Oryza sativa Japonica Group: one gene and its partner. The protein of the gene in region 1 interacts with the protein of each later gene in a biochemical or structural test. Links are inferred from orthologs where the notes say so. Each region holds a gene or a part of one and is shown in the gene's direction. Other genes may lie near its edges. The genes, in order: E3 ubiquitin-protein ligase KEG and bZIP transcription factor ABI5 homolog.

Region 1 (4,275 bases):
CTAATAGACCGCTCCGTTTTACGTGCGTGCGAGATGGGTTCCCAACCCATAGAACCGAACACAACCTTAGTAGTACGTTTTTTTTACATTTTTTTTCTCAAGTTTGAAAATACTATACCTGGCTTTACTCCTATACTTACAATAACTACGGTCCCCATCGGTTGGTCTAGTCTTATTATAAGCCATAACGGCTTATTAGAGCAGGTACAATAGCAGACTATAAGCTAGCTATAAACATATTTTAAAAATATAAAAGAAGAGAGATAAGGGAAGCGGGCTACAGATCTGTAGCCAGCTGCAACACGGACTCCAAGACGTAATATGTGTATGACAGGTGGGACTAAGTATTAATAGTGTAGTAAGCAGCTATTGTATGAATTGTCTATTACATTGGCTATAGAAGATTTGGAGCTAGTAGTTAGCTATACTATTAAGCTTGCTCTTAACGATTAAGAAATAATATGCGAGTAAAAGTTTTATATATTGTTCTTACCGATTGAAAAGCCAAAGTTGAAAAAAACTATGTTAAAATAGAATCAAAATCAAATTCAAAATCAAGTTTTAAAATTTAAATTTTGGCTTTAGCTTATAAGCCGTAGGGCAAAGGATGAGGCCATACATTGGAAAAAATAATTATCAAAACAACATCTTGCCTATTTGACCATTATACCTATCTAACCAACAAAGAGAATCATATCACTCCGTGGACCAAACGATCGGTAAAAAAAAAAGTTAGCATATCACTGAAACTACATATAGCGTGTACGGGCACGTTGCGGGGAAGCACATCTAGGACAAGCAAGCTCCAAACCGGTCTATCCGTCAGCTCAGCCCTTTCTTGATCGGTGTGGCAAGTTAGCTCGCCAAAAAAAAGAAAATAAAAAAGAGAACATAACAAAGTTGCTTTTAGTTATTCATTCACACTAACCAAGGACCTGTTCACTTTGATGCCAAAAAAAACCTTACTAAATTTTGACATTACCAAAATTTTAATATAGTTGCCAAAATTTTGGCAAGACAGGATTTCTTATATAGTTACCAAAATTTGACAGCAAATTAAATGTAGCCACTTTTTTGATAACTTTATTAAAATTTGGTAAGGTTGAAAATGACATCAAAGTGAACATGACTCAAGTACTAAATCCCAAACCAAAGAGGAGAACTTATTCCAACATCGCCCAAAATCCCCCCGAGAAGGCGAGAACACTCGACAAAACCGGAACAGAAAGTAGAAACGGCCAACACACCACCGCACACCCCTCCCCTCCCAAGAGCGAAGAGGAGAGAGCCTTGCTTGTCGTCCCTCCTAGGCTCCCACCGCATCATCATCATCATCATCATCATCATCATCACCAACCCCCCCATCAAAAAATCCCATTCCTCCTTCCCAAACCCCCCCCTCCCCTCCCCACCGCCGCTCCCCACCACCACCGCCCCCCCAGATCTACCCCTTCTCTCCTCCCCGACGCGCCGCGCCGCGCCCTAGCTAGGGCAGCGCCGCGCCGCGCCGCGATGCGGGTGCCGTGCTGCTCGCTGTGCCACGTGCGGTACGACGAGGAGGAGCGCGCGCCGCTGCTGCTCCACTGCGGCCATGGCTTCTGCCGCGCGTGCCTCGCCCGGATGCTCGCCAACGCCGCGGGCGCCGTGCTGGCGTGCCCGCGGTGCCGCCACCCCACCGCCGTCGGCAACTCCGTCTCCGCGCTGCGGAAGAACTTCCCCATCCTCTCGCTGCTGTCGTCGTCCCCGTCGTCGCCCTCGTTCCTCCACTCCGACTCCGGCGGCTCTTCCTCCGACGGCTCCGACGACGACGACGACGACTTCTTCGGCCGGCCCAGCCGCCGATCCTCCGCCGCGGGGGCGGGGGCGGGGGCGGCGGCGCCGTCGCTGCAGCCCGCGGGCTGCGCCTCGTTCGACCTCGCCTCGCATCCGGACCTCAAGCTCGCCCGCCGCATCGGGAGCGGGCCGCCGGGCCCCGCGGGGCAGGAGGTGTGGTCCGGCACGCTGTCTCGTGGTGGTGGGGGAGGTGGGGCCAAGAGGTGTAAGCATCCGGTGGCGGTGAAGAGGGTGCCCGTGACCGCGGGGGATGTGCTTGAGGGCGTTCAGGAGGAGGTGGAGCGGCTGAGGCGCGCCGCGACGTGGTGCCGGAATGTTACCACGTTCCATGGTGCTGTGAGGGTCGGCGGGCACCTCTGCTTCGTGATGGATCGGTACGCGGGGTCTGTGCAGACAGAAATGCGGCAGAATGGCGGTCGCCTAACGTTGGAGCAGATCCTCAGGTGTGGCATTGCATCTAAACATGGATACTAAGTTTTATTTGCGTGGTTATATTTGCTGCAGTCATGTATGGTTATAGTTGCTGCTATCAAACTATCGATCGCCGAAAATGATAACCCTAAAAATACAGTTGAGCTGGGGCGCTATACGACAGTTTGTCCGCTAACTGTATGTGTTCAAATGCATGGGGTTTCAATGGTGGTTCGCTAAGCTGCATGTCTAGCTAGAAGGATCATAAAAGGTGGAAAATGTTGTAGTTTGAGTACTGACGTGGAAAGCGGTTTTTGCGATTAGTAGTGCCAAATTTGATCTCAATGAGTTTGTAGTATTTGTACGTGTTCGGCAATGTTTGGGTGATTGTCGGCAGCTTTGTTATTCCATCTGTCCTGCATCTTTTGTTGTGTTGTGACATAGTGCTTAGGTCTATTATTAACAATTATCACACTTAGTGCTTGGAGGAATGAAAGATCACTCTTTGTACTACGATTAAAATTCAAGCCAGGCTGCTCAGGAAGTTCAGTGTCCAGTGAATAACATAGTTTTGTTTTGCAATTGGTTTGTTGATTTAACACACATCAATCATTCTACATGTGGAGCTTGAGTTCTCTTTAATTTGTGAACAAAATGATCACTTGTATGTGCTATGAATTTGTACTATACAATGTGCAATCGTTTATTCCCAAAATTATAATTCCTAGAATATTGTGAGGTTCGTGACGGCGACGAATGAAATGCCAACACTTTCTGGTTCATATCTGTAATATTTGGCACCCTGGACATTTCTCCATAAAAGATATAACTCATATGGCTGTTAGAATGGAGGGATTGGAGCAAAGATGGTTGTTCACTGCTGCATTAATTCTGTTCCTCTCAACTCAAACTTTAGTTTCCAAAGATCTGTTGAATACTTCTGTGCAGTGGAATAGTGTGGGCCACTCATTTGTGTTTACCTGATGTAGAGTTTCTTACTATAATAGCACACTCACTGTGTGCTGCAACGGATATCAAATAACTGTACCATTAGTCCATGGGTTAAAAAGAATAAGAAATGATTATCCTGTGATCTAAACAATTTGATACATGTTTTTACTCTTTTTGAAGAAGGGAGTTTGGTGCCACATAAGTTAATGGCCGAATCGGGCTAGTTAGCTTTACTAACAAGAAGCACTTTGTCTCAACACACTCTGGTAGCATTTGATGCGAATGCCAATACAAATGTGGGTCAAAGTTCATCAGCACATTGTCAAACTAACGATGCAAATTAATTTCTGAGCATCCTGTATTTCTGTTATAGTTTGGTGGAACTTTGTGAACTGTAGTTGTCTAATAGAATGTGATATACAATCACAAGTGTCCATGACTCATAACTCATAAAATTCTGAACTCAGATTTCTCTTTTGTCTGGTAGCTACATGGCGCGAATTGCTTCTGTACTAAGTGCATGAAATAGCCCATGCCATACATAGGGAAAAAATAACTTATTTTGTCAGCATGCCAATTTCTTTACTTATTTTTCCATTATAAGAATTGCCACCTCATTTTTCCTAGTATACTGTTGTTATTATTCTTGAGCACATCAAAAGGATTTAGTTTTTTCATCAGTCTAATTATGTTTGACCTTCCCTTTTGTTCAGTCTGATTATGTTTGACCTTCCCTTTTGTTTACTCAAGTCTTTATATCTTCTGATTATATTTTTCCCGAGCGTGAGTTTTGCAGATATGGAGCAGATATTGCTCGTGGAGTAGCAGAACTCCATGCAGCAGGTATTGTTTGTATGAGTATAAAGCCGTCAAATATCCTTTTGGATACAAATGGGCATGCAGTTGTTTCCGACTATGGTCTTTCGGCCATTCTTAAGAACCTCACTAGTCGTAGAGTGTCTGATGATTCCAACATGGTTGGCTTGGATGCTACACTTCTTAGCCCCAATTATACAGCTCCTGAGGCTTGGGTGCCATTGAAGAAGTCAATGAATCTGTTTTGGGATAGTGCAAATGGAA
Region 2 (3,982 bases), on another chromosome or scaffold:
ATTTTCGAACATGGTAGTATATTGCTACTATAGTGGTGCACCACCCTCTGTTTTGCTCTAGCTTCGCCACTGACCACAATCTGCGAACATGGTGACGCTTCTGGTGTAGCAGCATCCACCCTCCATGAGACTGCTCTAGTCACGCATGTGCTGGTGCCGCCCGTCATCTCCTATGGCTTGGTTCAACCAAAACTTCGTCCTTGCAGCCAAAGATGACGAAATCTCTATCTTCATCTTTAAAAGTAGTGCTCTGGTGTTATGCCACTCCGTACAACAAAATATAAAAATATCATTTTTTTTCTACAATGATGATTGTTAATTACTTCTGTTATAAATATTGTTTGAAAGACCAGCAATATTGTCAATATCCAACTTTCAAGCTAGCAAAATGTATGCATATATTTTTTTATGAATTACCTGGCAAACCTATCTCTAGTTGTGTCATATACCTATAGTCCCATAGTGTGACTTTTGGATGTACATCGTTAATCTTTAGAAAAATATAATGCGACATCTCAGTACTATTTCGGTTGGTCACAAGAAAATCATATTATTATATGTACTAGATTTTTCAATTATACAAAGAAAATAAGTAGTCAAAGTTGATTTTTGTAAATTGTGCCAATTTTAAAAAATGATACATTTTCATGACTGGAGGGAGTATACTTGCGACAGTTTAGCAATACCAAACAAGACCAACAATTCAATGCACTTGACCAAGTATTTGAACCCAATACACTTTGTATGAAGCAAGCACTTTAAACTAATACCCACTTCAGCTATTTCAGATGTCTAGTCAAATGGCCAGCAAACGTTAAATGATAGTGTAATTATATTTATATTAGTACCTCATCAGTGTCTTGAAGTCCAGAAAAAAAGAGGGTGAGTCCAAGGTATACCTCCATCCGAATGATGCTATGCCTGAAAACCTTCAACACCGTGTGAATTATGGTGAGAGTAATTTCGCCCTACGCAAATTATGCCAGTAACGTTCTCTATGCATTCAAGGCATCCATATATGTAGCATTCATGTGAGCAACACATTTTTTCCATATCATCTATGTTAAAATAAAGCAGTATGAAAGATTCATCAAGAAAATAAGGCATAAGCCAACTTCCAAACTTGGGAGTGCTTATCTGGTTATCTACCATCCATACGTAATCGCCTAGAACTTCAAGCCAAGCACATCATCAGTTGCACACTCTTTTAATAAAGTACATATGACAAACAACACACCTACCTTAAGTTTTTTGGATGCAGTCATGTTACACCTTTCAACCCTCTTCTATGTTCTAACAGCCAACTTCGTTTTTGCATCACAGGCTATAAAAAGGGGTGGCATCCATAGCTGAAGGGACACACCTAGAAAATTTAATAGAACTTTACAAATTGAGTGTTATAGTGAGATGGCATCGGAGATGAGCAAGAACGTGAAGGTCACCGATGATCAAGAGGTTACATCACAGGAGCGTGACCAAAGTGGTGGTACAAAAGTAGGTGGGGAGGAGGAAATTGCTCCACTGGCGCGGCAGTCGTCAATCCTCTCCCTCACCTTGGAAGAGCTACAAAACTCCTTGTGTGAGCCAGGACGCAACTTTGGTTCCATGAACATGGACGAGTTTGTGGCTAACATATGGAATGCTGAAGAATTCCAGGCTACCACCGGAGGTTGCAAGGGTGCCATGGAGGAAGCCAAGGTGGTAGACAGTGGAAGCGGAAGCGGTGATGCAGGAGGAAGCGGTTTATGTCGGCAGGGATCATTTTCCTTGCCGCTACCGCTGTGCCAGAAGACGGTGGAGGAGGTGTGGACTGAGATCAACCAAGCCCCTGCACACACCTCCGCTCCGGCCTCCGCGCTCCAGCCACATGCCGGGAGCGGTGGTGTTGCAGCTAACGACCGACAGGTAACACTAGGTGAGATGACACTTGAGGATTTCTTGGTAAAGGCCGGGGTGGTCCGAGGGTCCTTTACCGGGCAAGCGGCCATGGGATCTGGCATGGTCAACGGGCCGGTGAACCCCATGCAGCAGGGCCAAGGCGGTCCTATGATGTTCCCAGTAGGACCGGTAAACGCCATGTATCCGGTGATGGGTGATGGCATGGGGTACCCCGGTGGGTACAACGGGATGGCGATTGTGCCACCGCCACCTCCCGCCCAAGGTGCCATGGTTGTCGTGAGTCCTGGATCATCAGATGGGATGAGTGCCATGACACATGCTGATATGATGAATTGTATTGGGAATGGGATGATGATTGAGAATGGAACAAGAAAGCGTCCCCACAGAGAGGATGGCTGCGCCGAGAAGACGGTGGAGCGCCGCCAACGGCGCATGATCAAGAACCGTGAGTCAGCTGCACGGTCCCGTGCTAGAAAGCAGGTACACATGTTGCTCCGAACCTTTTAGTTTCTATGTATCGTTAAGACATTTTGCATGGAGATTGAAATTTTTATGAATAATGCTACAGGCTTATACGGTGGAGCTCGAAGCTGAACTGAACTATCTCAAGCAGGAGAACGCTCGTCTCAAAGAGGCAGAGGTATTAAAGCAAGAAACATTATCCACTCAGCTTTCATTGTCATTCCTAAACAGTCTCGTTCCTTCCTTTTCTGTAACATTGAACTGATAAATATACAATGTCTATATTATCTTCCTTTTACAGAAGACGGTTCTACTGACAAAGAAGCAAATGGTATTGTCCTCTCCCATGTGGCAATCCCCATTCCGCATAGTGCTCATCGTTTTGTGAAATTATTAAATACATATTTGTTATTCATTTATTTGTGTGTGTATATATGCTCATGGAAATATGTCGTGTTCCTGTGATTTTTCAGCTGGTTGAGAAAATGATGGAGCAGTCCAAGGAGAAGATGAATGCAAATAGGGGTGGCAGCCAGCTGCGCCGCAGCGGCAGCTGCATGTGGTGAAACGGGCATAGCGGTGACCGGCGAGTGGCACACTCATCCTGCTTCTGGTGTGGCACTAGCCTCTGAGGCTCTGAAGAGGATTTGCACATTAAGTCTTCTTTCAGACTAAGTGATGTGAAGGTATTATGGTAGTAGTTGATATACATATATGCTGTGATGCTTGTAAACCTGCCTGGACCCACATGTCTTGCCATCGTGTTCACCGGTCCTTGCTGCTTATATGGTTACATGTCGCTGTTTGTACAAAACAACGATGAATAAAATTATACAATAGTATACTAGTTTGTATCTGTAAGTTTGTTCTCATGTCATATGCGCTGGAAAAAGAAAAGCTACAGTATAGGCAAACCTTGGTAGTATCGATTACGGCCCAAATTTCTGGCCGAATAAACTGGAAACCGAAACAAGCTGATGATGATTTGGGCTTTGCGATGGCGAAAAGTTCGGCTTCTATGATCCGATGGAAAAGTTGACGCGAGGTTACACGGTTTGCTAGTTTGTGGGAATTCCCCGATCCTCGGTTAATCTCGCCGTGTTGCCGTCGCTTGAGCAGGAGCAGGGATGCAAGCGGGACAGGCAAGCGGGTTTTTTTCCCGCTTATCCCACTTCTAGTCTATCTTTTTTTTAAATTTTGTACTACTATAAAAAAAATAAACTAGCAAGCAGGTTTTTATGCAGGTAGCGGGATTACCTACTTACATCCCTAAGCACGAGGTTGCCAGCATCGGGCTTAGCGTCTCCACTCGTGTTCGTGTTGGTTCCTACCTCTCCAAGTCTCTACAAGTCTAATACTCTCAATCTCAATGACCACCATAACAATAGCGTGCATGACGACGGGAGAATAAAAAAATATATTGATAACTAGAGGGTGTGGCTGGACATGCAAAGACGAAGCGGAGGGACGGTGGTGGTCTCATTGAGAAAGAGCGGTGGTGGCGGTCCGTGGAGCGGCAGGTAGTGATTACTGGTGGTCCGAAGAGTTTGCTATCGACACAATCTCTAATCAAGTTTATTGTATTTTTTTCTCTAAGTAGTGCTAATATGTGAGCCACCAA

The links.
Region 2: the proteins of E3 ubiquitin-protein ligase KEG (region 1) and bZIP transcription factor ABI5 homolog form a complex in vitro, tested with the Arabidopsis thaliana proteins (2 studies listed by BioGRID, with this or other methods). The link is inferred for Oryza sativa Japonica Group from reciprocal best matches to the Arabidopsis thaliana genes KEG and ABI5.

What each region holds. Positions count from the first base shown.
Region 1 is NC_089039.1:19,166,391-19,170,665, reverse strand, and holds the start of E3 ubiquitin-protein ligase KEG, read left to right. Parts: upstream 1-1,240; 5' UTR 1,241-1,512; coding exon 1,513-2,276; intron 2,277-3,991; coding exon 3,992-4,275. UniProt on the Arabidopsis thaliana protein: Mediates E2-dependent protein ubiquitination. Acts as a negative regulator of abscisic acid signaling. Required for ABI5 degradation, by mediating its ubiquitination.
Region 2 is NC_089035.1:37,800,153-37,804,134, forward strand, and holds bZIP transcription factor ABI5 homolog, read left to right. Parts: upstream 1-1,359; 5' UTR 1,360-1,407; coding exon 1,408-2,379; intron 2,380-2,467; coding exon 2,468-2,539; intron 2,540-2,662; coding exon 2,663-2,692; intron 2,693-2,834; coding exon 2,835-2,927; 3' UTR 2,928-3,222; downstream 3,223-3,982. UniProt on the Arabidopsis thaliana protein: Participates in ABA-regulated gene expression during seed development and subsequent vegetative stage by acting as the major mediator of ABA repression of growth.